Caenorhabditis elegans: one gene and its partners. The protein of the gene in region 2 purifies or fractionates together with the protein of the main gene of each other region. This does not show direct contact. Each region holds a gene or a part of one and is shown on either strand. Other genes may lie near its edges. The genes, in order: par-1, ctr-9 and spt-16.

Region 1 (10,172 bases), on a different chromosome or scaffold from region 2:
CCTCCACTTTTTCTCTATTATGCATAGTTTCAACATGAAAAAAGTTCCATTTTTCCAATTTCTCTGTGCTCTCTCTTAGTTCCAGCATCACTATTCCACACGTCTATCTAACCATTCTAGCGTAAAACGAACAAAAAGAGTTGTTGTAGATTGACAGAGAGAAAGAGAGTATAGGAGTGTCCTCCGTTAGTCTCAAGGACAACACTCACTCACTCAAATAGACCAAAACCATTCCTAAAATGAGAATTCAGTCACCCCAACCTCCCACCACCACGCCCTTTTTTCCCGGTCCGCGTGTGATTTTGGTGATTGTCCTCCCGCCCGCGCCCACTTTTTTCGCCTAGAAACTCCTTTTCCTTTTCCACTTCACGCTTCTCGGTCAATAGGAAAGTTGTTTGACGATTGTAGGTCATTGAACGTCTGAAGCACCCATGGCCGAGGTTTCACAGCCCAGGCCATTAATTTTTTACTGAACAGTAATATGCGTTAACAACACTAGTGTTGAGATTTGCTCTTGAAATCTGTTGCAATCGTAATTTTGCAAAAAAAACTAGGCCGCTGATATACTTTAAGGCCACGTCGCATATTTCGCTCTGTGTCTCGTACGTACAGATTTATTCGAATGGGCCACACCACGAGAAAAGTCCAAAAATTAATTTAGTTATTTTTCAAATAATTTTATATTAGAAATTAAATGAAGTCACGTTTAAGTGTATGAGTTTATGTCACTAAATATGCACAATAGGAAAAATCTTTCGTATTCACTATTTTTTCGCGGCGAGACCCATATGAATAAATGCATGCGCCTTTGGGTAGACGCTACAGAAAGCTGCAGAATAAGAACACCTAGCTCTGTAGTTCATGTGAACTTTTCCTTCTTCAAGTACGTAAAAAGTTCAAATCACTCTAGCATTTCATTTTATTCTCTAGATTCCCACCACTTCTTTCTCTCCCATTTTCTCTCTTCTTCTTTCAATTTTCCTCTCTATTTTTTCATCCATTGTTTGTTTTACCTTCTCCATTTTTTTCCACCACCGACCCCATACTGAATGAATGTACAACAAGTCCAGCTGGTGACGATGATGATGATGGTGGTGGTGGCGGTAGAGAAATAAGAATAAGAAGAAGAAGAAGCTAGTTTGTAACACTCTCATATTATTCACCGAGAAAGAAGAATTGAGACAACACAGAACACTCCCCTCCCAATCTCGCTCTTCCCCGAGAAATAACACTGATTGTGAGGCGAACATGGCTTCGTTCTATTTGAATTTCGGATTGTTACGGGTGTTACACGCGCGCGCGCACGGAGGAATAACAGATTGGGAGTGTTACATTGCTGTGGCCTAGTATTATATTCTTGGAAAGTTAGGCTATCATTCAAAAATTTGAATGTTGTCGATTTCATTTTAACTTTAGAAGGTTTTAAAATTACTTTTACGTGCAAATTTTAGTTCCTTTTTCAGTCAACAATCGTTATCACAAACTTCTGTACAATACTGTTTTGCACCGAATCATGCGTCAGTTGTGCTCTCCTCACTTCCAAGAAGCTTCTTCTGTCTGTTTCTCTGCACTCTCCACTCTCTCTCAGCCTTCTTTCCTCCAATTTCTCTCTCTCGTTTTCTCATCAAGAGCTCTTTGAAACCGAAACACTTATCGATTATTTGAAAATGTTTTAAAATACGTCAGCCAACACCACTACCAACGTCAGAACGAGTAAAAAAATGTTCCACTTGAATATCTTCCTAGCCATATGCCTACTTTATTCATAATTTTCTGCACTTTTATTTGCATTTTTTATAAGGAAATTTATTTCAGGAGCATGTGAACACGCCTCCAGGGGATAATCAGCAGAAATCATCGAAAGAAAACCAGAAATCTAATAAGGTTCGTTTCAATTTTCAAACTACCGCCGAAAAGTGTAGCGGTGGCCTAGAAACCGACGTGTGGATATCTAGGCCATCTCATTTTTTTAAATTAATTTTTCACATTTTTTCGCTTTTTACATGGCAAAACCGATAATTCCAAGCGTTTGATAACGGGAAAACTGATAAAATATTTTTGAAATCGATATTTATTCATTGTTTTCTCATAATCAACTTTGAATCTGATATAATAATCGCTCAAACGTCCTGAAACTCGGGTTACAAAACTAAACTATTTATTTTTCAGGATAAACAGTCGTCAAATCAGCCACCCGGTCAAATTCCGCATTCAACAAATAGCGGAACAAGGAAATCGAGTGGAAGCGGATTGAAAACTGCAAATTTGAAAGTAAGATCTCAGAAAAAATGTATATTTTTTTCAAGTCTAAGAACTTTCTGTGTGAACTTTCTGTGTTCGGTGCAACACAAAAGATCTCATCCAAGACACGGGCGGTCTTCGAGAAGATTAGTGATAAAAGAAAATAAAGAGAGTTCCGAGTAACAGACAGTGTTATTTGATGATGACAACGACGTTCCGTTGCGCCGCCGCCGCCGTCGCTCCCATCATCACTCAATTTACCTTGTTCGTGTTTCCTAGTTTTCTCAATATATATCTTCCTCGTCGTTTTTTTCGCTGAAAACTGATAGAAATATGACGAAAAACGGAAATTGACGACCTGTGGATGGAAAACTTCGACGGGGCGCGAGATGTGGGGAGACAGAACAAAAATGTTGTTTGTTGCATGAAAAATTGAGAAAAAAAAGAGAGAGAGAGAGAGGTGGGAGAGAATTTTTCAATATAGAAATCATTCGTTTTGTTCGTTGTCGACCTGGCAAACCGCCATACAAAATGTCCAGAGTTTCAGGCTATTTTATGGGAATTTCTAAGAAAAATGGTCAAAAAAAGGTAGGACAGCTGTATAAAAATTAATTTTTCTGCTAAATATGAGGACCGGCGATAGTCTAAGTCAAAATATTCGTTAACCTTTAATATTTTTGCTTAAATGAATCCGAAACTAACGAATTTCGTAATGAAATTTCTAATAAAACATTCCAACATTTTTTGCCGAGCCAATTCTTTTAAAATCTGAAATTTCGCTACTTGTCCTGGTGTAAATACAGTTTTTATTGAATAATCACCCGGTATAACAAATTTTGATAGTTTATCTTCCGTTAATTCGTTGGTTAAAAAAATTTTATAGTCGATATCGATAAAAATGCATTACATCTGCTGCGACAAAAAAAGTTAGCGAAATTTCAGATTTGAACAAAATTTGATTTTTTTTTCAAATGTTGACCTGCCCAATAAAAATTTTTAAATCCTTAAATTTCAGCATCCGGCGCGCCCATCAACAGAATCCTCAACTTCTTCATCACATCATCGACGTCCTGCACAAGAAATGAACGGAACGTCGACGGCAACTGCCACCGGTGGCGGAGGAACATCTGGAGCCACCACAACGGCATCATCAGGAGCACCGGCTGCTTCATCGGGTGGAAGCTCGGCTAGATATTCGAGTAGTGGGAGATCCCATCCAACGTCTGGAAGGTGAGTGTTTTTTTTTTTCTTAAAGAAAAAAAAAGGAGAAAAAGCGGAAACATTTATTTTTCAATTAAAATTAAAAATGTGAAATTGTTTCCATCGGACACAGGTATGGGGGAAAATTTGTTGTTTTCCATGCTTCTGGTTTCGATTGTTGAAAAAATTCAATAGTTTGCTTCATTTCACTCAAAATAACGAGGTCTTTCAGAATTTCTAAAATGACTTAATTACAGCTAAAATCTCCAATTTTTTCATTTAAAGTCGATATTTTAGTAACCTCTCGGCTGGAAATATGTTTAACTTAACGAAAAAAAAAACAACAATTTCCGGCCTCTAAGACTAGGAAAAGTTGACAAATTCGATATTTTTGCTGAAATTTAGCCATTTGTAATTTTGAAAGGTCTCGTTATGAAATTCGGTATTTTCGGGGTCATTTTGAAGGGTTAGTTTAACAAATTGATCAAAGTTTGAACCAACTTCCCGAAATAGTTTTAATTTTTTGCCCGTTGGTTTTCTCACTGCAGTTTGTCTCAATTTTCTCTCGCCCATCTCTCCTCGTTCGTTGATTTCTTCACAAATTGTTTGTTTTTCGAATCTTCACTGACTTATTTTCAATTCTTCGTTAGTTGTTTGCACCCACAGATATTCGGCGGCTTTTTCCTTTTTCTCTCAATCTCTTCAGAAGACTATTTTTCTAGTAATTCTATGACAACTTTGAAAAATTCAAACTGCTCCCAATGGTTCAGAGATACTTTTAACAAAGAACTCCTTCTCCCTTTTGTACTTTTTGACGAGACACTTTTTTATGATTGATGCTCGGAGAGAAGCTTTCGATATCAACACTTACTGATAAGAAAAGGCTTTTGTTTTTGAATCACTTTTTTCAATTGTACAGAACAAGTAAACAGAATTGTTGTTTTTTTTTTAAATTTTTTTCCTACAAAAAAAAATAATTTATTCGATTTTAATCCAAAAATGGTTTCAAAAGTGCCAAGTTTTTAATACTCAATTTGCATAATAACGACTTATTGTACAGTTGAAGGTTGCTGACCTTTCTGAATATTTTAAAAGTGTAAAAATAAAAAAAAATTGAAAATGTAAATAAAAATGTCAAAATGTTCACAATTTCCGAGGTCTCTCTTCAATTCCAAAGACCAAGTAATCGAATGAGCCATCTTGATGATGTCTTTTCTACTCAAAAGCCGAACAAGTCCCAATAATTAGGGGTGGCGAGAATAAGAGGGGGAGTAAGCACACATACACAGACACACGTAGCATACACTACTCGAATATTATGCAAATTACGCTTCCTTCTTCTTCTTCCTATTCGTCGCCTTCTTCCTATTTCTGTTGTTTCTTCTTCTTCGTCTTTTTGACGTCTTAGTCGTCATTTTCAGTATCTCTTTAGACTAAAAGCTCACTGATCCTGAAAAGTTGAAAAGCTGTTGTTTAAGCTTTTTCAATCCGAATCAGAATACATCATCATCATATTTCATCCTCTCCGCAGGGCTAATGTTCTTTCAAAAGAGCTTTACTATTTCCATATTTGTCCATGCTAGTGGAACTTTTTCACCACACGCTCTTTTTTCTTCCTCTCCATAACTGCTGCTGGGGGTCGAAGTCTACTCGGCCGTCAGAGAGGAGAACAATCTCTTTGGAATTTTCAATGAATTTAGGACGCGGTTTGTGGTGGTCCAACAACTAGTATGTGTGCTCTGCGCTGAGCTGAACACTCTTCTCAATATGTATATCCATGTCCTCTGTGTGTGCTAATCCATTCCGGAACCTCCGCCACCAGCATTTTCCATTCTTTTCAATCCCGTCGTCGTCGTTTTTCATTCTCATCTAGCCTTCTAATCCCTCATTTCTTAGTTTTGACGAGAAAAAACATGGTGATATCTCTGACTGCATTCAACTTTTTTTTTCATAATTTTCCAGACAAGAATCACGTTTTCTGGTCATTTTGTTTGAATGTTTTTTTTTGTTTTCCCTGATAAATACCACTAATTGAGGTGTTGCTTTTGCAGAATGCGTATGTAGGTTATCACAATGACGTTTTATTTTTTTTTATTTATTTTTTTTTGATAGCACTAATGTTTTTTTTCCTTGAAACGTATAATTTTGCGGTTTAGTAATAAAAAAGTGATTATAAATTTTCAAAGCGTGATCACGAATTTTATGTTTCCAAAAGTACATTTATATTTACAGGTCTATAAATTTTATCCATCCAAAAATGTTCAACAAAAAAGCACTGCTTTAGAATGTTCTATTGAGCTGTACCAACGCGGACCAATACGTTCGAAATTGTGCCCTTTTCAAACGAATAGCTCTTCCTTTCAAAAAAGCGATCTGTCATTTCGAGTTTTTTGTTCTCTGCTTCACAGCTCAATCCTCCTCTGTTTCTTTTTGCTTTGCTTTTTTTGCTGTCTTCTTTTTCGACTTTTTGTCGTGTCTCATTCTCTACCCCCGAGCCCTCGGGGCCTTCAATATTCATCCTCTCAAAGAAAGACTGATTCATCCTCTTTTTACTGACATTGACGCAGCAGTAGCTTCTCCTTTTCCTTATTCTCTGCTGTTCATTGCTGTTTTTTTCATCGTCGTCGTTTTTCCTCACACAGTGTATTCTAAATTTTTTCGGAACATTTCTGGCGTTTCTTCAGTCCCCAAACGGCTGAAAACCCGGAACCGAAAGCTGAAATTTGAGTGAAAGCTGATTGGGGACGCTTTTGCGTCGTCATCCGTCAGCCAGAACAGTTTATTCCAACGGGGTCAACACACTGCCACGCGGAGCTGTTATTCGTGAAGTTATGAAATTTATGTGGAAGCCACCCGAGTAAGTAAGCGGTAGTACAGTTTCGAGTTACTTTAGAGAATTTTATGATGTTCGGGAAAAAGATTTGAAAATGTTGAAGGGAAGGATCGCTAGTGGAAATTTTGTGAAGAATCTAAGGAGTATAAAATCTTAACAATAATATCTGGAATATTAGCCGACTTTTGGAAAACGTTAGAGAAATTTAGAATTCGCAGAATTTTGTGGCCGATTACCAAAAGTAGATTGCCACTTTTTGAAAATGAATAAAAACATTTCAAAAAAATTTCGAAATGCTTTACCCATGAGAATAACTCACCCTGTTAAACTGTAAAGTTCCAACCTATCCCATGTTTCAAATTTCTGTCAAAAATGAGTCAATAGGCACACAAAAACAGAAACTTTATCACTACTTCACAGACATGACGGAGTCAATTTTTGACGGCCCGCCGGATGTGATTCATAGACTTTGAACCATTTCAATCGATAAGCTATTGGAGCTCCTGTAAGCTGGAATCTAATTGACTAACAACCAAAAACTGGCACAACCCTATTCATTGCTTTTGTAATGATGCTCTTTGGTGTACATTTTCATGTTTCCTCCACCCTCTTAGTTCTCAACCTATTTAATAGTGCCACGTCAATCCGAGAGTTTGTGATGAGTTTCTCGGTTAGTACGATTATAAAGAAGAAAAGTGAGACGCGAACTTCTTTTTTTCAACTCCATCTTCGTCGTCTCGGTGCACCTGGTGTGTTGTCCTATTCTATTCGGTTCTACCTCCTCCACCCCCAATCTATTCAATTTTTATTATTGACTTATCGGAAAGAGAGTCAGTAATAGGAGAGGTGGACACGCAGACGTTGTGAGAAAACGACAAGCGCCTCGACTGAGAGAATTGAAGAACTGACTCATTTTTGTACTGAACTGACTGACAGTGCAGACTGGTTGACACACCTGCTCAGAAGCTGCTGGATCACCTTACACATTCACGTGCGACACTATTTTATTCAATTATTGTTCGCGATTCAAGATTCAAGAACTGTTAAGATGACGAAGAAATCGTACGCATTTGCACTGGATCTCGATGATTTGTGCTGTGACGATCATCCATATTCATATTCACCACCTTCCACATCTTCACGGCATTCTGCATATTATCCATCTCAACAGCCTCGGACCTTTTTTCCGGAATATGAATTGACCAGGTTTCTATCTTGTTTCAAAATATTTTTTCCGGCTGCTTCTCTTCTTGAATATGACTCATCGCCCCCTCAATTTTTCGTTGGTCGTGCTGCAAGAAATTTTCCATGATTCATCATAGCAGCTTGTAGTATAGAAGAAGACCATCGTTGTTCTTGTTGAACATCAGATTTTACATTTTATGTCCGGCGCCTGAGTTCGCCTTACTTTTTTTGTGTTCTACGAGGTACGGGCAATATGATGAACGTAGCCACTAAATGGGGCAAAGTGGCCGAATATAATTAGTACGTTTCTAGATTCGGTTGACCTTTGATTTTATATCCAAAAAAGGCAGTTTAACGGTTTTCTTTTTGAAAAACAATTTTTTCTAACTGAGGGGCTGGAACTTCCTTTTCTATTGGAACAACGCGTCTCAAATGAAAAAAAAAAGTTTCCGAAGCGCTATTTTTCGAGTTTTTTTTTTTCATTAAATCGGCTGTAAAAGTCGTCATTTCTTCCCCTCTGTGCTGACGTCTTCACTCAAAATGAAGAATTGCAAGCACAACGAGATGACGTTGGATGGCCCCGCAAGCAGTCAGCATCGAATGAAAATTTAAACACAGAAATTCAACGAGCCCCGTCCATCAAAGCCACAAAAAAACGGGGGTCCGCGAAGGGAAATTAGAAAAAACGAAGAGGCATGGCGGGGGGGGGGGGGACACGATTTTATGTAGCACTTGGAGCAGCACTTTGTGGGGGCATTTATCGGTCGGCGGGGAGGGTTTTTTGGAGAAATTCCGATGTGATGGGAGCAATAGAAAGAGAAGGGGACACATATTCCCTCTTAGTTTTTTTCTCCTTTTGCTCACACTTTTTTCAAGAGGAATACAGACAGATAGAGAGAGACATGGATGCAATTTGTGTCTCTTCTCCAAAGTGTGGATGGATGGATGGATGGATGTGTATGGAGAAAGGCCGCCCATCTTCTTCTTCTTGCTCGCTTGCTCCTCTTCTACTGCCGGCGCTCTCCTCGTTTTTTCCAGTGTGTCCGTCCTCCACGCTTTGCTCCATTTCGGGGAGCCCCAGGGCTCTTACGCGTCCGTTTGACCTAATTCGATATGTTCAATGCGGCATACTCGTCGTTACTCGCTAGATTTATGTGCCAGCCAAGTAGTTCATCTGTGACGCCTATTCCGGAAGAGGAGGAATCTCTGATCCCGAAGCGAAAAGTGTCTGAAGTGGTCACTACAGCTCCGATGGCTCCCACACTAACTTCATCTGGGAAACGGCGAACGGTGAAAGTGTCACCTGATGGAGATCATGTCACACATAACCGAAAAAAGTTAATTTTAGTTCACATTTAAAATTAAAATAAAGCCCCAGTCCACCAGTTTTCAATAAAAATTTTTCCAGCTCTTCATCACATGCACGATCTACTGGACAATCGGGTATGTCAAGTCGATCGGCAGCACGACGCAACGATCAGGATGTACACGTTGGAAAGTATAAGCTATTGAAGACTATTGGAAAGGGAAATTTTGCAAAGGTGAGCACTTGATGATTGGAAATTTCGAAAAAAAATAGTTATCAAAAAATTAGAGCTTGAAACATACTGTAGCCGGTCTCGACACGACCGAGCGCCTTTAAGGATTACTGTAGTTACAAACTCCCGGTTTTTGGCAAATTTTCTGTTTTCCAAATTTTTTAAAAATTTTATTTATTAAAACCAGTCGATGACCGCGCCTCCGGCGCGGCCAACGACTGGCGGAGTTTAAAATGTATAATACATAGATGTCCTTTTAATCATTCAAAAATGTATCATTAAAAAAGTTGAAACTTCATCGATTAAATCGCATTTTCTTCTTCCATGGTATTCGATTCAGAAAATTCAAAGAGACAGTTAGAATGTTCTGATTTTTCTACACTCAAAATTATAAAACTGCGTTGCGTGTACGCCAAAATAGTCCCCGCCTTTTTCTCGTTCACTCACGGGGAAAAGGCAAAAAGCGGTACCCCAGGTAATATCAGCCGCCGACATCATTCGAGGTCCGCGCACCACACTATTTTTCTCACTGTTGGCGTGGCGAGCTGTCCCCCTCCCCCGAAAAAATTCCACAGAGTTACAGTTTTTCAATAAGTTAATAACTTTCCTTAACTGGAGAAGTCTGAATAATTAACTACTAATAGTAAGTTCTTTGAATATAGATGTGACGAAACAAATAAAAACTCCTACAGTTATAGGAGGTTGTAGAGCATTTCAGAACTTTTTTGAATTTTCCAGATGATTCTAGAACATTCTAGAATTTTCTTGAAACTTCCAGAAGGTGCTGAAACAAAAAATTGATTCCAGAACCAAAATTTGAATTTCCCGCCAAATGTTTTCCTCAGAAAATTTGAATTTCCCGTCAAAATCTTTTTCTCAGAAAATTTGAATTTCCCGCCAAAATTTTTCTTGGAAATTTGAATTCCCGCCAAAATTTCTTTTCTCATAAATTTTGAAGCTCCCGCCCATATTTTTAAAGGTCCCACCACGATGGGTCTCGCCAGTTCCAGGTGGTACTTAAGCTAACAAAAAGTTTCTCAGAAAATTTGAATTTCCCGCCAAAAATTTTTTCACTGAAAATTTGAATTTCCCGCTAAAATTTTTTTCACTGAAAATTTGAATTTCCCGCCAAAAATTTTTTCACTGAAAATTTGAATTTCCCGCCAAAAATTTTT
Region 2 (10,172 bases):
TCGTGATAATGGAAGTTGAAGGCCATTTCCAAGTCAAGTCCAACGAACTCGGTCATATGACGATGGGTGTTAGAATCTTCAGCACGGAATACTGGACCAATAGTGTAGACCTTTTCAAAATCTCCGGCAATAGCCATTTGCTTATAGAGTTGTGGAGATTGAGCCAAGTAGGCGGATCCTTTGAAATAGGAAACTTCGAAAACATTGGCTCCACCCTCACTTGGCGCAGAGATAATTTTTGGAGCCATGATCTCCACGAATCCTCTAACATCGAGAATGTTTCTGAACTGATTACAAATTCCGGCTTGAATTCTGAAGATAGCATGAGAGGTTGGCGTACGAAGATCGATGACACGGTTGTCAAGTCTTGTATCGAGATTAACAACAGCCAATTGATTCTCCTGCTCGCTGGCTTTCTCTTCGTCAGTTGGTGCTCTGCGTGATGCATCCTCAATTTGGAGCGGAAGCTTTGGAGCAGAAGTTGAAACGACAAATACTTGTTGAGCAAGTAGTTCGACATCCTTTTGTGTGCAAGATTCAATTGGATTGTCAACCTTGTTGATAGTAGCATAAACGTCAACAATAGACTCCTTTGAGATAGAAGAAACAAACTTCAACATTTGCTTGCTAATCTTTTCGTTCATAAACATTGCTACTTGAACGGTGTAGACTCCCTGACGGAGAACGAGGAAGCAATTCTTTCCCTTCGATCGAGTAGTGTGAATGCGCCCACGGACCCAAACCTACAAAAATGTGAATAAGATGAGCATATCCTCTGTTAAAACTCACGTCTTTTGTTGCGTTGGAAACGTTGATCTCCTTGACTTTCAGAAAGTTCAACACCTTCTTTTCCTTAGAGTTAACAAGCCCATATGATCCATAAAAGTCTTTGGATGCGTCTTCTTGGTCCATAGCGGCAGCCTGTTGTTGGTTTCCTCCTTTCTGAATTTATATTGCTTAGTTGCGAAATATTTCAAAATAGCATTTGAGGTTATAGAAAATTATTTACTTTAAAAATAAATAGCTCAACAGAATTTTCAATAACTCTATAAATTTAGACTAAACCCTATTTTAACGAGCATAGTTAACAAAATCTCACCTCTCCAGCTTTCTCATCTTTCTTAGCTTTTCTAGCAAGCTTATTGAGCTCCTTCTTGGAGAGTTTTGGTTGTTCACCTTCGGCAGCATCAGCCATTATCACCTGAAACAAATTAGCATCTATAAAACCAATGAAAAATTAAATTTTAGCTTGAAAATAAGGAATTTGTTTACAATTTGGGCTGAAAATGATGAAGTGTGTATGCGCGTCAGTTCTGATGTTTGTGCTCTCTGCGTACAATGCGTTACACTTCACGCGCATCGCGCCTCGTTCGAAAAGATATTTTTTGCATCCTGTTTTTCTCAATTTCTTCTTGAATTTCAAAGTTAAACGTTATTTAATCTTTATATTTTATTCATTTGCTTATTCTTTTTGTAAGAATTAAAGTGAGTTTATCATAAATCCATGATTTATTCTGCATCAGCGCTTGGAAAGTCTACTACCACGTTTAATCTTTAAAATTCCCAATCTTGGGTACTATTACTTGAATATTTGTCAAGAAAGATCTAATTTGTGTTTTTTACAGGTCAGAAAGTCCAAGGAGATGGACGAAAGTATTGATGATGTGCAAGAGACCAGAACAATCGCTATTCCATTGAAAGACAGTCACGAAGATGTAAGTTTTTGTTTCAAAAGTGTTCATAATTTCAAAAATCGATCGTTGTTGTTTCTTAGTGAGGAAATTTGGGAATATTGATTCATCATGTCGGTAGGACTTTCAAATTTCGAATTTATTTCAGCCAACCGACTTGATTTATCGATATTTTTGAATTTCAGGGTACGCACTTAAAACGTCTCCGCCGTTTCTCAATCGAAGTCTGGAATTTAATGCAAAACTGGGCGACAGCTTCTGAAAAATCAGTCCAATATTTGGAATCATTAGTTAATTCACGTCTGAAACTGCTATATTCGCGAGAAGTTGATGTAGAGGAGTCTGCAAAACTAACAAAAGATCAATCTGATCGTGTTCTCAATGAGATTGTTGTTATGAATTCAAAACTGAATCAAACTATGAGTGATTTTGAGAAAGTTATTGGAAAATTCGAAGTTGCACAAGGACGAATGTCAGCTTGGAAGCAATTGACCGAAAAAAGTCAAAATATTGAAGAAAAGTACATTGTGGAGACCCTTGACGAGAATTTGCCGTTAATAATTACAATGCTTAAGAAAGAATTGAAAGTGAAGCAAGACGTGCTCTTCGATTTCGCTCAAAATGACAGCCGGGACGTATTTACTCTTGTCCTTCTCACATTTAAACATGAACCATTTGTTGATGTCGCCCTTCTTTCCAAATTATTCGCATTAGTGGCCTCCGAAGCACAATGATCGATTTTTATTAAATATTATATTGTTTAAAAAAAACGTTTTTTATGTTTGTTCGTGAAATAAAATCTTGAAAAATTAATTTTCTGAATCAAATAATGAAAAACTTATTCAGGAAGTAATTGAAATCAACTGCTCCGAGCTCCCCGATGGCGAAGAAGTCCTTCAAATTTTGGAAGCAGAAGAAGCAAAGTTATCGTATTGGATTGAAGTTGCTCTCGAATATTACAGACAAGATCGTGTTGATCTATTCATGATGATTCTAGAATCTGCTGGATCTCGTGCTGGATTGGAGTATGAAGGAGTAAAACAGGATCAAATGAGAGCATTGGATATACTTGCTGCCTACTGGATGACTCAAGGTTACAGAGAGAAGGCCAAGGACAAGAAAAGTGATTTCTTCTCGAAAGCTACAGTTCTTTTCAACACAGCCGATAAAATTGCGATGTATGAATGGTCTCACTTGACAGTTCGTGCTTGGTTTTATCTTTTTGAACGAGATAAAAGTACAAACAAGTATGAACTTGCTGATCAACAATTCAATTATGTCGTTAAAACCAATCCGAAGAATGTGCTCCCGTTGATTGGAAAAGCTGTAATCGCATTCAATAAAAAGGATTATAAAACTGCAATCTATTACTTTCGAAAAGCAATTCGACAATGTCGTCACACAATCGCAGATCTTCGAGTCGGAATCGGTCACTGCTTCGCTAAAATGGGAATGATGGACAAAGCGAAAACGGCATTCGAAAGAGCCATGGAAATTGAACCATATAATGTATCGGCCATGTGTGGTTTGGGAATTATTCTGTTGAACACGTACGACCATGACAGCCTCAAACACGCAGTCAGTTTGTTTGGAAGATCTTATAATTTACAAACTGATCATCCAGTTGCTCTTATTCATCTTGCTAATCATTTCTTTTTCAAAAAAGAAATTGAGCGTGCATGGACACTTGCCTGGCATGCAGCAACGTATAATGATTGTGATTCGATAAAAGCTGAAGCTTTCTATCAAATGGGAAGATGCAGGCATGCACAAGGGCAATTTGACGGTGCTTATAAGGTTTGTTTTTGAGTTTTCAAATCATAAACTAAAAATATAAAATTAAAAACTCGAAAGAAACCCCGGAATTTTGTCATTGAATCCTGAAAGCAATCGAAAAATCAAATGATTTTTATGTTAAAAAAAGCTTCAGAAAAAATGCACGGAAATATTCTAGAATTTTGAAATTTTCTTATTTCGTGTCTCGAAAGACATTGCTCTAAATTCTCAAAAAGTCCTTTTTTTTTAAGTTTCATATTTTTCCAATTTACGAAAGCTTCGACTGAAAATATTCAAAAATCTACCTAAAATTTTTGTGTTTTGGCCATTTTGGAATATTATACGTGTAAAATCCTACTTTCAGTACTACTACCAAGCTCGACAAGCAAACAATGGAGAGCACACCCTTGCTCACTATGGACTTGGTCAAATGTACATTCATCGAAATGAAATTGAAGAAGCAATCAAATGCTTCGATACTGTTCATAAACGATTGCCAAACAATACAGACACGATGAAAATTCTTGGAAGTCTATATGCTCATGTTCAGCTAAACGATCCGGCACAAACAGCAGAAGCACGGCAAAAGGGACGGGATGTTCTTGGAAAATATCTGGCAGTTGAAAATGATGACTATGAAGCATGCATCGACTTGGCTCAACTTCTCGAAGCAACAGATCCAAAACGATCTCTGGAATTGTATGAAAATGCAATCGACTTGCTTGTAACAAATGAGAGTATTCAACCACAACCCGAAATGCTCAACAACGTCGGTGCTTTGTATATGTCAATGAAGCAATATGAAAAAGCTGAACATCACTTCAAAAGAGCTAAAGAACGTCTTGAAGAACAATTGAATACTGATGAAGGGTCTCTACTTTTAGAACGTAGAAGTGCTCCTGAAAAATCGCACCTTCTCACAATTCGTTACAATTTGGCTCTGTGCTTGGAGCATCTTTGTCGTACTGTTGAAGCCGAACAAATGTACAAGGATATTGTGAAAGAATGTCCTGGATATATTGATGGATATCTTCGTCTTGGATGTATCACTCGTGATCGTCATCAAGTCTATGAATCGTCTTTGTGGTTGAAACAAGGCGTTCAATTTGATCAAGCATCACCAATTGTTTGGACTCTTATTGGAAATCTTCATTTTGCAAAGAATGAATGGATGCCTGCCCAGAAGAAGTTTGAATTCATTTTGTCGAAGATTTTCAACAACAAAATTCCTGATCCATACTCGCTGGTAGCTCTTGGTAATGTGTGGTTCGAGCAGCTTCTCAATCCATCAAGGAAAAAGGAAGATGTAGGTTTTTTATTGCTTTATCACTTGCATTCTGAAATTTATTCATATTAAATTTTATAATCGATACCATTTTGTACTTAACTATTAAAGAATGAACAATATATTTAATTTTTATTTTCAAACAATTTAATAATATTTTGTTTCAGGAGAAAAAGTACATTGACCGAGCTCTCCAAATGTATCAAAAAGCATTGAAACTTCAACCAAAAAACATGTATGCTGCAAATGGAATCGGATGTGTGCTTGCTTATAAAAGAAACTGGAATGATGCTCGAGATGTTTTCAGTCAAGTTCGCGAGTCTACCAGTGAATTCTACGATGTCTGGCTCAATATAGCTCACGTTTGCATGGAACGAGAGCAATGGATGGCTGCTGTTCAGATGTATTCGTCTGCGATGAAAAAATTTCGAAAGGAGAATGACTCGACATTGCAACACTATCTTGCAAAGGCCTATTACCGAGCAAATATGTTGAATGAAGCCAAGGAAGCACTTGAATGTGCAATGCTTGATCAATTGGATAATACCCAATTGAAATTTAACTATGCTATTGTATTGAAGAAATCTGCAAAAGAAGTACTTCGAGGTCACAAAATGACATCAGAACAAGTGACTGCGGCTATAGATGATCTCAAATTCGCCGACAAAATTTTCCAATACATCTCTAAAAATGATGATCGTCAATCGAGCCATACTGGAATGCGAATATCGAGAACAATCTGCGCAGAAGAAGCTAAAAATTGCAAGGATTTGTTAACTCAAGCAAAGCATAAATTAGCAGCTGCACAGACTCAAGATGAAGAAGAACGTCGTCTTATGGAGAAGCAAGAGAAAGAGAAGATAGCATTGCAGAACAAGATGATTGAGGAAGCTCGTGCTAAGGAAGAAGCTGAAAAACAGAAGCTCGAAGATATGAAGAATCTTAGATTATCATTCATAGAAATGACAAAAGATGTTCTCAGACTTCCAGAAATTGTCGAAGAAAAGAGAAGAGGAGGTGGTGGACGGAAACGACGAAATGATGATGGTGATGAGTTTGTTAATGATAGTTCTGATGCTGGAAATTATGATGGAGAGGAAGGAGGTGAAGATGGTGAACGAAGAGAACGAAGGAAGAAGGATAAGGCAGCAAAGAAGGCATCCAGGAAGAAGAGAGAACGTAGAGATAGTGGTGGACCTGATTCGAACAGAAGAGATGAGAAAAAGAGAAAGAGGAAGGAAGAGAGGGATCGAAAACTACAGGAGAAGCTCTCAGCAAAACAATCAGCAAAGATAAAATCTCGTGCATTCTTATCTTCATCGGAATCTTCTGATGATGACAAACCAAAGCCTGCTGCTGATTCATCGGATGATGAGGTTGATCCGCGGCCGCCAGTTGATGAGTTTGGTTAGTTTATTGATTTCTGATTTTCAAAAAATTCCATTTTTTGCAGATAGTCCAACCCGAACTGACAGTGATAGTGATCGTGAGACAACTACAAAAAAGAAAAAGAAGAAGGCTGTTGTGGATTCTGATGAAGGATCAGTCTCCGGATCTGGCTCTGGATCGGATAATGATGATAAGCCAATTATTGGAGGTTCTGATGGTAATCATAGATTTGAAAAAAAAAACGACAACCGAGGATGTCGCCTTCTGAAAATACCTGATTATTTCAAATATCTCAAAATCGAAAAAAATACTAATATTTTTATTTTGAAAAATATTAATCAAAAAACGAAAATTTTTCGATTTTTAGTTTTATTCAGTTTTTATTCAGTGATAATCGGAAAAAACTTCAAACAATGTTTGGAACATTTGAAAATATTAAATTTTAAACATTTTTTCGAAATACCTGAAATCGCAAAAAAAAAAGAAAAAAAAACACTTACAAATTTTTTAAAGGAAAATTACAAACCATTTCAAAATTGTACTAAAATTTAGACTATTATCGCACAAATGAAATTTTTTCAAATTTTCGGAAAATCGTATACAAAATGTTGAAATTTTCAGATGATGATGATGATAAACCTGCTGGTGGAAACTCCAGGGACAGTGATGGAAGTGATGCTCCGAAAAAGAAGGTTATCGAGAGCGACAGCGACTGAACCAATTTTTTTTAAATTTAAAGTTTTTATTTATTTTTGTTGTTCACAAATGTTTTATTTGTACTCTTTGTAAATCTAGCATCTTGTGCTCGTTCTCACAATACATTCTCCCGTTTTTAATCACCGAGTCCAAGACTTTCAATCTTTGACATGAATTCATTTATCAAACAAATAATGGTACCTGTGAGTTCGTTTTCGTTAGTCGCAGAGTTTTCGATTACAATTTGAGACCAGTTTTCGTGAGGAGCGAGGGCATTTAGGACTAGAAGGAGGGAGCAAAGAAAGCATGAAACAATAGGACGAATTAAAGAATACGAGATAGCAAGAAATATAAAATAATTGGAAGATAAAATGTAGAATAATAATAAGAAGAAGATCCAATTGGTTGAGATTGTGTAACTGGAGGAAGGGATGCTGTCGTTGTTTCCAAAATACGTTCTTCCACAATTCCTGAATAATTTAACGTTTATTGGGGTTTTGAAGATAAGTGAAGCATATTACACAACAATTGCAATTTTTGACGCAAAAATACGGTACCCGGTCTCGACACGACAAAGTTTTGTCAAATACAAACTGGGGTCTTCAAAAAGCACTGTAATTTGAAATTTTCGTTGTTGTGAGTTTTTCTCACGATTTGGTTAAATTTACGTTTTTTTTTAAATTTAAGCTTCCATAATGGAGTTATTCAAGTAGTGTCGGAAAGTTGAAAAGTGTAGAAAAATTACGTCACAACTGTATAAAAACATGTATTTTTATACATTTGTGACGTCACAAATGTATTTAAATACATTTTTCTACATTACTTGAATAACCCCATAACGATAAAATATGAAAAATTCATGAAAATTCATTTTGGTTTTGAAAAAGGCGTGTCGAGACCGTGGAACAAAAATCTCAAAATTTCGCGTCGAGGTTAATACCGGAAAGCATTGAGAAGCATGCATTGGACAATTTTTAGGAGGAAAATTCATTTAAATTTTATTATAAGGACGCAGCCCATAAACGTTGGGTCTCGTTAGGTATTCGACGGCAAAATTCTGAATTTCGTTTTATCAATTTAAAAATAAAGAAACTACGGAAAACATGTTAAAAATAGGAAAAATGATTACAAGCGAGTGATATCTGCAAAAATAATTGAAAACGTTTGAATTTCTGGTTTTGCCGCCAAAACATAACGAGGCTCAACGTTTAGGGGCGGAGCGTTTTCAGTTCACCGTGTAGAGCGCTTTTACGTATTCATTTATTCTACGTCCCCATAATACAGTTTTTGTATTAGAACATGCTAATTTAGTAAAAATCGTTCATTAATATATACATTCACAAAATTTCTACAACATAAATAGAGATTATTAAATAATTATTATATTTCATTTAGTAGTGAGGCATCTTGCATCGACGTGTGATTAGCAACAAAACGAGGCTTGGAATGGGGGAAGGAATATTTAGAGAAGATGTGTGAGAAAGTGAGACGCAGACAGTGAGACAATATCAGACGGTACCTGTCAAACAGATTATATGAACTCAGAAGTAACATATTATATTTTAGTAAGGGAGCTGTGAAGAGGTAAAAGTCTTACCGATAGTTCCACATGCAAGTCGGCTTCCAGCATTTCCAGTTGTTTTTGATTGGTCTGAAGTACCGCGTCCCAAGTCATCAGTCTGAAACAGTGAAGTATTTAATTGAGAACTAAATGAACATTGAGAGCTTAGGCTTAGGCTCCGGCTTACGCTTAGGATTAAGATTAGGCTTAGGCTTAGTCTTACAGTTAAACAGGCAGGTAAAAAAATGTCTTTTGAAAATTTTAGATTGTTTCTCCGCTATGATAATTCGAACACCAATGTCGTTTACTTTTTCCAATAGATTTTTGATCTTTGCCATTTCAATCAACAAGTCTGGAACAATCGAATGCTCATAAATATTTGTTTCAATCATACACCTATTTTTTTCAAACTTCTCATCCTCAACAACACCCAACATCAATATTTTTTATAGACACTGCCATCAAATAACGTGAAAAATCATAAACCAACTCACTTTTTCATGAATAACCACACTTCGGCCAATGATTGAATATTGTCCACTTAATGAGGCAAGAGAGTCGGAAACTGAAATTAATGTGTCTCCGGAAGCCTGAAAAAAATATAATCTCCATGAGATGTGTACATATATAATTACTAAAAGGCACTCAAAAAAGAAAATTTGTTGTGGCAAAGTTTTAAAACCAACTTATATTTTTGGTGGAATCGAACTTCGGAGTGTTTTTGAGATAAATATGGTAATTTGTCATGCATGTTTATATTTGGCCCTTATTAGAATTGACTACATACATTTAAAATCAAAATGCAAGTGGTAGTCACCATGTTTTCACTAGACTTGAACATTTTTTTGTAAAAATTGTATTTTGAGATTTGGTAATTTTAACACAATATCCTGGAAGTGTTCTGTAAATTCTTACCGGTGACTCAATATTTCCCAAATCTCCAATATGTCTGTTCGAGTCATCTGGTGCACCATGGCTCAGCTTATGAGGATTATAATGTCCACCAGCACTTAGACAACCATTTCCAGTATCTCCTTTTTCATGAATATGGAATCCATGTTTTCCAGCTGCTAATCCGGAAACCGATCCGTTAAGCTGAAACAATAATTGGGTCAATGTTTTCACACTGAATAATAGTTACCTTCAGAAAACTTCCAGATTGATCAAAATCAATAGTTCCAATCAATTCAGTTGGAATTTTTCCAGCTTCAGCTTTGAAAATGTAGGCACGTGCACGAATCACTGAAAATAGTTTTACTTATAACTTAGAGCAGTGAAATTTTATAAGGAGCTATTGAAAATATAAAATTGAAATTTTGTTTCTGAATTATATATTTTTTTTTTTTTTGGGAGTTCTAAGAATTTTGAAGTTTGAGCCCCTACAATCTTCAAATAAAATTGCCTTAAGTAGAATTAAAATATAAAACTTGTGGAAAATTTTTTTTGGTCAACTTCCAAAATTATAGAATTTGGTAAAGTGCAAAATTTTTAAAAAATTTAGTTGTTTAAAGAAAACTCCTAAAAGTTTCCTAGGACTGTTTAGATGAAAACAATTGTAAAAAGTTTAAAATATAACCCTGGAAGAAAATTATTTTTCATCGACTTCCAGAATTATGATATGTGAAAACTGAGTAATTGCCAATTTTTGCAGTAAACTTTAAAAAATTAAAAATATTCTGACTTTTTAAAATATACGGCGATTCAAAAAATATATAATTGTTTACCTTCGGAAGCGGCTTCAATGCAAACGGAGAGAGCCAGAATTAAAACAACA
Region 3 (10,172 bases), on a different chromosome or scaffold from region 2:
TGTTCTAAACTTACAAATCAAACAGCTCATCGATTTGATTGAAGTTGGAATTGGAGAACTGAACGACATTCACAATGAGAATCACTTTTCCGCTGCAAATAAGGGATTTTTAGAAGTGGAAATGATTGAAAATGCAATAATTTTGCTAAAATTCAAGTGAAAATTGAAAAAAATGTTATATTTTCCGAAGTGAAAATAGTAAATTTTAAGCGAAAATTTGACAGTTTGATCAAATTTTGATTAAAACATATCTGGAAAAACTAAAAATTTTAGCTGAAAACCGATTGTCAAAAACTGTTCCAAAATGACTTAATTTTCATTTTTAAGCTGACAATTTAAACTTTTAGTGGTTTTTCTACAATTTTCATAGAATTTCTATCAAAATTACAACTGGAAGTTGGACAGCGGAATAATTTGTTCTTCTGGGGTTTTCACCGAAATTCCGAACACCGAGATCTTTTCAGACGAGATAGAAGACTGAACGTTGATCACGGGCGGCTGGAAATGGAGAAAAAAATGAGTGAAAATATGTATTTGGAGTTTTTTGAGGTTTAGGGAAAAATATAGTTTGAGAAAATTCGTGGTTTTTTAATTTTTGTTGAAAAATTATTATAACGCCAAAAGTGATTCAATTTTTCATAAAATACTTAAATTTTTTTATAATATAGTACAAAAAATAGTCTCGGAAAAAAATAATTGAAAGAAATGCATTTTTATTCAAATTTTTTTAATTTCTCAATTCATGATAAGCGCCAAAAATCTTTTATTCCTCAACATGGTGATATCCTAATCAATATATAATTGCGTACTAACTTGTTTAACAGCAAAAACCACATATCCTTAGAAAAATTGTGAGATTTAAAACGGAAAATTAGGATAAAGTCGGTGAATGACTATTTGCCGACAATGAGCTCCGAATGAACTCCGAATGAACGACAACGAAAATGCCGAAACTAAAATCACATTGATATCTATGCGTCTAAAATATTTAATCAAAGCGTGTACCTTCTTTAAACTCTTCGAACCAGAGCACATATTCTCGGTTGGCTGACGCCACAGAATCAGAGCAGTGGCATCCTTTGTGAGTATCACGAACGACAAGGTCATAGAAAATTGATCGAAATTCCCCAACTTCAAGTTCCTCTCCGAGAATAACCCGAGCTCTCTTCACGACGTCACATCCTTCCCAGAGCATCGCGACGACTGGTCCAGAGCTCATGTAATCGATAAGCAATGGGAAGAATGGTTTGTCCTTGTGCATAGAATTCCTTTAAAAAAATTATTGACTGCCCTAAAATTTAGAGATTTCCTGAAAACTTACATTGAGAAGCTCGTCGGACAATTCCATAGTTTTATTTTTGATGAGTGTGCATTCGGAATGTGTAAAACGGGCCTTTATATCTTCGATGAAATTACTGAAAATTAAACAAAATTTTATAAACATTTTCAAAAATGTCGAGTCTCCACTACGAAAGTGGGGAAGTACCGAAAAATATGCTTTCGCAACCTCCTCACGCTTATTTCGTAACCCTCACACTGTTTTGTTTTAAAATAAAAGAATAAAAATTTTGAGATTGATAACGAAAAACGCGCGAGGTTAGTGAAATAAGCGTGCGGGGGCTCCTATGCACACTTTTCGGTCCTATTGAGTTATTTTTGTAACTTCCGTTATTTTTGAAAAGTATAGAAAACTTGCAACTTACATTTTCTCGTCTTCTTTGACAAGTATGACGAGCTTTTCCTTATCCAAGTGGGCCTGCGAAAGAAGATGGTGATTCATCCGCTGGATACGGTACTTTTTCATCGAAACGCCACAAGAGCACAAGAAATTGGCCCCGTCGATTTTGACATCACCTTTGGGATCATACAATTCCTGCAATCCAATAAACTAAGATATTCCCTGATTGAATTTTTACCATCAGCTCCGTAGGTTGATAAAATTCGGGAAACTTCCGATGGGTCTCATACATCTAAAGACAGATTGAAATGAGAAACATCATAAATAGTGAAGAAATAAAACTGGTTCCGTGAACCATAGTTCCAAAGATCATGGGAAAACGAATTTTAAAATATTATTTGAATCATCATTGGAAAAATAATCAAGGAATTGGATAATTTAAAACGCGAAAATTGGCTGTACAAATTCATCGGAATCCAACGATCCTTCATCATCATCATCGGATTCAGTCTCTTCACCTTCACTTTCATCTTCATCACTTTCACTTCCTGATCCAGCAGATGCATCTTCTTCTTCAGGATCATAAGCATCCGAATCATCAGAATCATCCATTGCCTCTTCATTATCAGATTCAGCATTCAGGAAACTCCATCCACCTTCTTCAAAGAATGCTTCAAGATCATCAGTGATTGTCTTCATAACTTTTGCCCAATTGAGTGATTGAATTCCTTCACTGTACCAAATATCGCAAGTGTGAAGCTATTCTTTTATCTTATCGATATTGCTCATCAGGATTTGGGCGACCATCTGAGGCTTGGAAGAATTTTGATATTGTTGTAGAGAACATCGATACGATCACCGCGAAGAGATGTGTATCTGGAAAATGAATTGAATAAAAATCTTGAAAATTAGAGCTTTTGGGATTTTGCTTAAATATAATGAAACTGGTCCGCAACGGCGTAATTTCATAACGAAAGCTTTCAAAAAAAAGTCTAATCTTGCTGAAATCTGAAATATCGTCTTGTTCTTGTCGCAGGACCTGAAATGTAGTTTTTATGAAATTATAACCTTTTATTGCATATTTTGGTAGATTATCTCGTGTTAATTCGCGAATATAGGCACGTTTTAAGTCGATAGATATCTAAAAATTAACAAAAACAGATGAATATTGACTTTAAAAGTGTCTAAATCAAAAATTAATGCGATATAAACGACCAAATATTTAATAAAAGGTGATATTTAAAAAAAAAAAGAAATATGTAATTCAGAAAAAAAAGTCTTCTTTCAAAACTGCACCTAAATCCATTAGTATGAGCCTCCAACGATCCGGTGATAAGCTTCTGAATAATATTTGGACAAATCAGAAGATTGAGCTTTGGATTCAATTTGTTCTGGCTCAAAATCAATTTGTCCTGCTTAACAGCGCCTTCCTTCTCCCGTTGTTCAGCCTCTTCAGACTTGAATCTCTTCTGCATTTCCTTGATAAATCGGAATGCGGTGCTCAAATTACGGCTCGGAGCAGTCGAATCACTGTGATGATCCTTGATGTTGCTCGCACGGAACGTGAACTCCTTCATATAGTGTGCAAGTGGATGTGGGAATTGCCCACTATCCTTTCCAACTTGAGATCCTGGAGTGGCAAAGTTGATTCGAAGATATGTTAAATCGCCTTCAACTGATTGCGAACAATTCTTTATCATAGAGATATGGAATGGGACAGGAATTCCAAATATTGGAACAACCACAGAATCATACTTGCGATCCACGAAAATCAACATCTTCTGAACGTCTGCATCTTGTGGTAATATTTTGATAAACGTGCTCCAAACGAGGTGATGATTGTTCCAAACTGGCTGTGAAGATGAGACCGAGCTTTCATGATTCCATTTGAATTAGTAATTTCCACCAACATTACGATTGGATCATAGCATGTGTCGGCTTCATACTTGGCCAGTGCCTGTTGTACTTTTGAATCCTTCATGAAGGCGGCAAACTGATTGGAGAGAACAGAGTGACGGACTCGCTGAAAGAAAGAAAAATTATTGTTTTCTTGGGGTTTACAAGTGTTTTACCAAGGAGTACAACTACATAAGCCAGTTATCGGTGATAGATAAAAGGAAAAATAGTGTAGTCATCTAAAAAATAGCTTTTATTTCAATTGAAACAACTGGAAGAACGCTCAAAAATTATAGGAAAGTTGAATTTTTTGCAATTTCCAACTTTCAGATTGTTTTTGAGCACTTCTTCCGTTTGTCCAATTGAATTAAAAAGCTATTTTCAGATACACAAACTGTTTCTCTACATTCTATCACCAAAAGAACTCCCAGTTCAACTATTTTCAGAACGATAAGCACCTTTTCATTATCACTGATCTCCACGTAGCGAGCTCTCGCAGCTGTCCATGATGCGGTTGTAGCCTGTGCTGATTTTCGAATCAAATCCATCTCCTTATCGTCTTTAACTGCGAACAGATGAGTAAACGCGAGAGTAACGTCATTCTTATTGACACCGCCTTCCTCGAGCGCCTTATTCCACGAACTGACGAATTCCGAGCTGAATTTCTCTTTGACGAAATTTCCAACATCTCCGCCTGCACTTTTGATGTGATCAATGAGCTTTTCAAAGTTTCCAGCGTCTTTATCGGTTTTATCGCGGAGCAGTGTGCTGACTGTTGGCACTTTTCCTGAGCTCTGATTGTCTCCAGTGACTGATCCGAAGAATTCGACTTTGCGATTACTTCCGAGAATGTAAATGTGATCATTGAGAAGCAACAGGACTGTGTCAGCGATTTCGTGGCCAAAAAGCCAGGTCTGAAATAAAAATTTGTCTTGAGTTTGAACAAAGTCTGAAAAATCCTTACAAATAGTTCGCTGGTCTTTGTATATGGATTATCAGTCTCTCCGTATACAAAAGCAAGTGATTTGATCGAATCTAGACCATCGGCTCCCTTCTCCTGTAAAATATTTGTAAAAAAGTAAAAACTATCAAAAACAGATCCAATGAAAATAAAATGGAACTCGGTAATTTTCAAACTCAATCTCACAATTTTTCGATGGAAAACATTTTAAAAATATAGCAATTCTACAGCTTTTATGGCAAAAAAATAGGGAAAAAATTAGAATTCAAAAATGTTCGTCGACAACAACGCAAAACCACAATCGTGTCGAGACCCATCCGAGTAAGCCGATGTCCCTTTAACCAACCCTATCGCGGTTTTTTTTTAAATTTTTAAAATTTCTTCAAATATTTCGTCCGTTTCTCTTGTGGACCGCTGTTAAAATAGTTAAATACTTTATTTTTCAGAAAACAGATAATTTATACCAAATTGACAGATGTAGAGCTAAACTCCTCAAAATTTTCTAAAGTTCTTATAATTTTACTGTTGTCTGCGTTTCAAGGCCTGAAATATTGTAGGCACTATCGTAGGATTACAACCGGATTTGTAACTTTGATTATCTGAAAAGGAAAAATATTAAACTTTTCTTTCAGGATTTTTCGCAATTGCCGGCGTAATAATTGCTAAAAGTCGACTTTAACTTCAATATATTTTAGCATTCCGAATCTGAAACTAGTTCCCAAATGCCATCTCTCCTTATCATTATAGTCTTCTTGCTGGTATTCTTGGAAATTGGATTTTTCCCTGTAATGTGTGGATGTTGGATGGATGTTTGTACACTTCCATTATTCAATATAACATTATCACAAAGAATTGCAACATTTGCCACAGCTCCATTCATGTCAATATTCCTTCATTGGATGGTTGGAATGATTTATGTATTTTATTCAGCGTCATTTGTGATTCTTCTTCGAGAAATCCTTCGTCCTGGTGTACTATGGTTTATGAGAAATCTCAACGATCCCGACTTTAATCCAATTCAAGAAATAATTGATCTACCGTTCACGCGGCATTTCCGAAGACTTGTTGTATCTACAACTCTGTTCTTTTCAACGATTCTTCTGACATCCTACATCCCGCTCAACATAATCTCATCACTTATTCCACATCTTCTACCCTACAGAAACTCCACTTTCTGAACTCTCGCTGGAATTGATGTTTCTTCAAGAATTCATCACAATTGTGTACTCTCACATGGCCCCTCCGTAAATAACATGGCGGGAATATTGCATGCGGAGTGGTTGCGAAAGTGCGTGCGGCTGTTGCGTTCCTTGACCACGCCCAACTTCATTCCATTCTTTTTCGCGCGCAATCCTCACTTTCAGCTCTAATTTTTCAGAGTTTACAGTTCTTCAGTGAAAAAATATTTGTCTCGTCAAAACGTTTTTTTCAAAATTTTAAAATTGTGTCAAAAAAAATTAATTTTTTCGCAAATTTCAAACTTTTAGCCTATCCGAATCCGTTGCTGGTCACTTTGTTTACGTTATCGATTTTTGCTTCCATCTCTCAATCCTCGTGACTTTAACACAATTTCTAACTTTCAGGGGAGAAATGTCTGGAAAACGGGCAGTTCTCAACAAGGATCTCTTTTTCCAGAGAGCGGAGAGGCTTTATGAGCACTGGGTTTGTGACTTTCAGGACTTTACGAATTTTTAATCAAATATTTTACAGGAGAAGGGAGCCGATGGTCTAGATTCGATCAAATCACTTGCTTTTGTATACGGAGAGACTGATAATCCATATACAAAGACCAGCGCACTATTTGTAAGGATTTTTCAGAATTTGTTCAAACTCAAGACAAATTTTTATTTCAGACCTGGCTGTTTGGCCACGAAATCGCTGACACAGTCCTGTTGCTTCTCAAAGATCACATTTACATTCTCGGAAGTAATCGCAAAGTCGAATTCTTCGGATCAGTCACTGGAGACAATCAGAGCTCAGGAAAAGTGCCAACAGTCAGCACACTGCTCCGCGATAAAACCGACAAAGACGCTGGAAACTTTGAAAAGCTCATCGATCACATCAAAAGTGCCGGCGGAGATGTTGGAAATTTCGTCAAAGAGAAATTCAGCTCGGAATTCGTCAGTTCGTGGAATAAGGCGCTCGAGGAAGGCGGTGTCAATAAGAATGACGTCACTCTCGCGTTTACTCATCTGTTCGCAGTGAAAGACGATAAGGAGATGGATTTGATTCGAAAATCAGCACAAGCTACAACCGCATCATGGACAGCTGCAAGAGCTCGCTACGTAGAGATCATTGATCAAGAAAAGGTGCTTATCGTTCTGAAAATAGTTGAACCAGGAGTCCGCTGCAAGCATTTCTACATAATTAGCCAGTTTTTGGTGATAGAATATAATGAAGCAGTTGATGTATCTGAAAATAGCTTTTAATTCAATTGAAAAAGCGGAAGAACTGCTCAAAATCAATCTGAAAGTTGGAAATCACCCGAAAATTAAACTTTCATGCAGTTTTTGAGCGTTCTTCCAGTTGTTTCAATTAAATGTAAAGCTATTTTTAGATGACTAAACTGTTTTTCCTTTTATCTATCACCAATAACTGGCTCATTTTTTAGTACTCCTGGGAAAACCACTGTTTTAATCCCGAGAAAATAATTCTTTTTTATTTTTGCAGCGAGTCCGTCACTCTGTTCTCTCCAATGAGTTTGCCGCCTTCATGAAGGATTCAAAAGTACAACAGGCACTGGCCAAGTATGAAGCCGACACATGCTATGATCCAATCGTAATGTCCGGTGGAAATTACTCGTTCAAATGGAATCATGAAAGCTCGGAATCTCATCTTCACAGCCAGTTTGGAACGATCATCACTTCGTTCGGAGCTCGTTTATCAGAATATTGCACAAATTTGACGCGAACTATGCTCATCTTCCCATCTTCTGAACTTGAGACTGCCTATGAAGCGATTCTTGCCGCCGAGCTGGCAGTAATTGCTGCTCTGAAGCCAGGAGCCAAGCTGAGCGATGTTTATAAAATTGGAATCGATACATTGACGGAGAAAAGTCCAAAACTTGCTGAAACTCTGAACAAGAAAGAGCTTGGATTTGCGACTGGAATCGAATTCCGTGAGAGTCGTCTTGCTATCAGTGCGAAGTGTGACGAGGTTGTCAAAGCAGGAATGGTCTTCATCGTTTATATTGGTGTCGATAGTATTCCAAACAAAAATAAAGGAGAAAAAGGAAAACCCGCCGCAATTGCAATCTCGGATACAATTTTGGTTAAAGAAGAAGGCGATAACGAGATTCTCACCGAAAAAGCCAAATCACGCCTGAAGTCCAACGTCATCAAATTCAAAGAGGAGCAGGAAAACCGTGAAGCTGAAAAGGACAATGATCAGAAGAAAATGCTCGGAAGAGGTCAGAGAAGTGTCGTTCTAACTGATCAGACGAGAAATAAGACGACAAACGAAGAGTTACGTAAGGAACGTCAGAAAGAGCTCGGAGTTCAGTTGAATGAGCTCGCAAAAGCTCGTCTTTCAAAGCAAGGCGGTGGGACCGATGAGAAAAAGTCGAAGAAATCGAATGTGTCATATAAAACCGAAGAGAGATTCCCACAAGATGCAGACGTTCAGAAGATGTTGATTTTCGTGGATCGCAAGTATGATTCTGTGGTTGTTCCAATATTTGGAATTCCTGTCCCATTCCATATCTCCATGATAAAGAATTGTTCGCAATCAGTTGAAGGAGATTTCACATATCTTCGAATCAACTTTGCCACTCCAGGATCTCAAGTTGGAAAGGATAGTGGGCAATTCCCACATCCACTTGCACACTATATGAAGGAGCTCACGTTCCGTGCGAGTAACATCAAGGATCATCACAGTGATTCGACTGCGCCGAGCCATAATTTGAGCACCGCATTCCGACTCATCAAGGAAATGCAGAAGAGATTCAAGACTGAAGAGGCTGAAGAGCGGGAGAAGGAAGGAGCTGTGAAGCAGGACAAATTGATTTTGAGCCAGAACAAATTGAATCCGAAGCTCAAGGATCTTCTGATTCGTCCGAATATTATTCAAAAGCGTATCACTGGATCGTTGGAGGCCCACACTAATGGATTTAGGTACAGTTTTGAAGGAAAACGAATGTTTCTGAACTCAAAAATTGCCAAATTTGAAAACTTTCGTTTCGAAATTATGCCGTTTCGGATCAGTTTTAGTCTATTTAAACAAAAAAAATCTAAAAGCTCAAAATTTCCTATTTTTATTTCAATGATTTTCCAGATACACATCTCTTCGTGGTGATCGTATTGATGTTCTCTACAACAACATCAAACATGCATTCTTCCAACCGTGCGACAATGAAATGATCATCCTTCTGCACTTCCATCTCAAGAATCCAGTATTGTGGGGAAAGAAGAAGTATAAGGATGTTCAATTCTACACAGAAGTCGGAGAAATCACTACGGATCTTGGAAAGTATCATCATATGCAAGATCGTGATGATATGCAGAGTGAACAGCAAGAACGTGAAATGCGTCGTCGTCTCAATGCTGCATTTAATAGTTTCTGCGAGAAGGTGTCTCGTCTCACAAATGATCAATTTGAATTCGATTCTCCGTTCGCTGGACTCGGATTCTTTGGAGTTCCGTATCGTTCGGCTACCACACTCAAACCAACTGCATCGTGCCTTGTTAATCTCACCGAATGGGTATGTTTTTTGAATTTTATTCCTGAATTCTTTTATATTTTATTTATTTTCAGCCTACATTCATCGTCACACTCTCCGAAGTTGAACTTGTCCACTTTGAACGTGTCTCTCTTCAACTCAAGAATTTCGATATGGTCTTCATCTTCAAAGATTACAAGATCAAACCTCAGATGGTCGCCCAAATCCCGATGAGCAGCATCGATAAGATAAAAGAATGGCTTCATACTTGTGATATTTGGTACAGTGAAGGAATTCAATCACTGAATTGGGCAAAAGTTATGAAGACAATCACTGATGATCTTGAAGCATTCTTTGAAGAAGGTGGATGGAGTTTCCTTAATGTTGAATCTGATAATGAAGAGGCAATGGATGATTCTGATGATTCGGATGCTTATGATCCTGAAGAAGAAGATGCATCTGCTGGATCAGGAAGTGAAAGTGATGAAGATGAAAGTGAAGGTGAAGAGACTGAATCCGATGATGATGATGAAGGATCGTTGGATTCCGATGAATCAGAAGGAAAAGATTGGTCAGATTTGGAGGAAGAAGCAGCGAATGCTGATAAGAGACGTGAAGTCGAAGAACCTTCACGTGATCGTGATCGTAAGAGACCACATTCGAGCAAGTCTGGACCATCGCACAAACGCAGAAAGTAAATCCTGTTTGTATAATTTCCTCCGTTTTATTCTTTTGTTTTGTTTTTCAACTATTTAAATCCCCAAGAATTTTCTTCGCATCTCAATCAATCAATCCGTCCCGTTACACCCCCCATTTTACAACAATTTTACAACTAAAATCTGTCAATCCCCTTATTTTTCTTTCCCACTCAAAATTTGAGTCGATGCTAAAATATTTTTGATTTCAAAATCAATTAATGTCAAATGAAGTTTCATGGAGGCACGTTTTTACATAATTTTGTCGGTTTTCTGAAAATGTTT

What was found.
Region 1: the proteins of ctr-9 (region 2) and par-1 fractionate together in Caenorhabditis elegans (co-fractionation; one large-scale study listed by BioGRID). This does not show direct contact.
Region 3: the proteins of ctr-9 (region 2) and spt-16 fractionate together in Caenorhabditis elegans (co-fractionation; one large-scale study listed by BioGRID). This does not show direct contact.

Annotation. Positions count from the first base shown.
Region 1 is NC_003283.11:14,124,939-14,135,110, reverse strand, and holds the start of par-1 (Serine/threonine-protein kinase par-1), read left to right. Parts: upstream 1-8,572; coding exon 8,573-8,796; exon of another isoform or gene 8,797-8,855; intron 8,856-8,867; coding exon 8,868-9,000; intron 9,001-10,172. UniProt on the Caenorhabditis elegans protein: Required for cytoplasmic partitioning and asymmetric cell division in early embryogenesis. Phosphorylates and restricts the asymmetry effector mex-5 (and possibly also mex-6) to the anterior cytoplasm of the zygote.
Region 2 is NC_003281.10:9,490,015-9,500,186, forward strand, and holds ctr-9 (RNA polymerase-associated protein CTR9), read left to right. Parts: upstream 1-1,625; 5' UTR 1,626-1,643; coding exon 1,644-1,715; intron 1,716-1,876; coding exon of another isoform or gene 1,877-2,425; exon of another isoform or gene 2,426-2,504; intron 2,505-2,537; coding exon 2,538-3,488; intron 3,489-3,831; coding exon 3,832-4,773; intron 4,774-4,919; coding exon 4,920-6,159; intron 6,160-6,205; coding exon 6,206-6,358; intron 6,359-6,762; coding exon 6,763-6,857; 3' UTR 6,858-7,030; downstream 7,031-10,172. Other genes in the region: dars-1 (Aspartate--tRNA ligase, cytoplasmic), read right to left, coding at 1-743, 790-942, 1,100-1,195; sod-4 (Superoxide dismutase [Cu-Zn]), read right to left, coding at 7,162-7,307, 8,435-8,516, 8,893-8,988, 9,314-9,493, 9,540-9,640, 10,123-10,172. UniProt on the Caenorhabditis elegans protein: Component of the PAF1 complex which is a multifunctional complex involved in transcription initiation via genetic interactions with TATA-binding proteins, elongation and transcription-coupled histone modification.
Region 3 is NC_003279.8:10,783,012-10,793,183, forward strand, and holds spt-16 (FACT complex subunit spt-16), read left to right. Parts: upstream 1-6,118; 5' UTR 6,119-6,125; coding exon 6,126-6,197; intron 6,198-6,245; coding exon 6,246-6,338; intron 6,339-6,388; coding exon 6,389-6,844; intron 6,845-7,205; coding exon 7,206-8,647; intron 8,648-8,807; coding exon 8,808-9,234; intron 9,235-9,287; coding exon 9,288-9,890; 3' UTR 9,891-10,141; downstream 10,142-10,172. Other genes in the region: F55A3.6 (uncharacterized protein), read right to left, coding at 1,176-1,268, 1,322-1,415, 1,704-1,873, 1,917-1,970. UniProt on the Caenorhabditis elegans protein: Component of the FACT complex, a general chromatin factor that acts to reorganize nucleosomes. The FACT complex is involved in multiple processes that require DNA as a template such as mRNA elongation, DNA replication and DNA repair.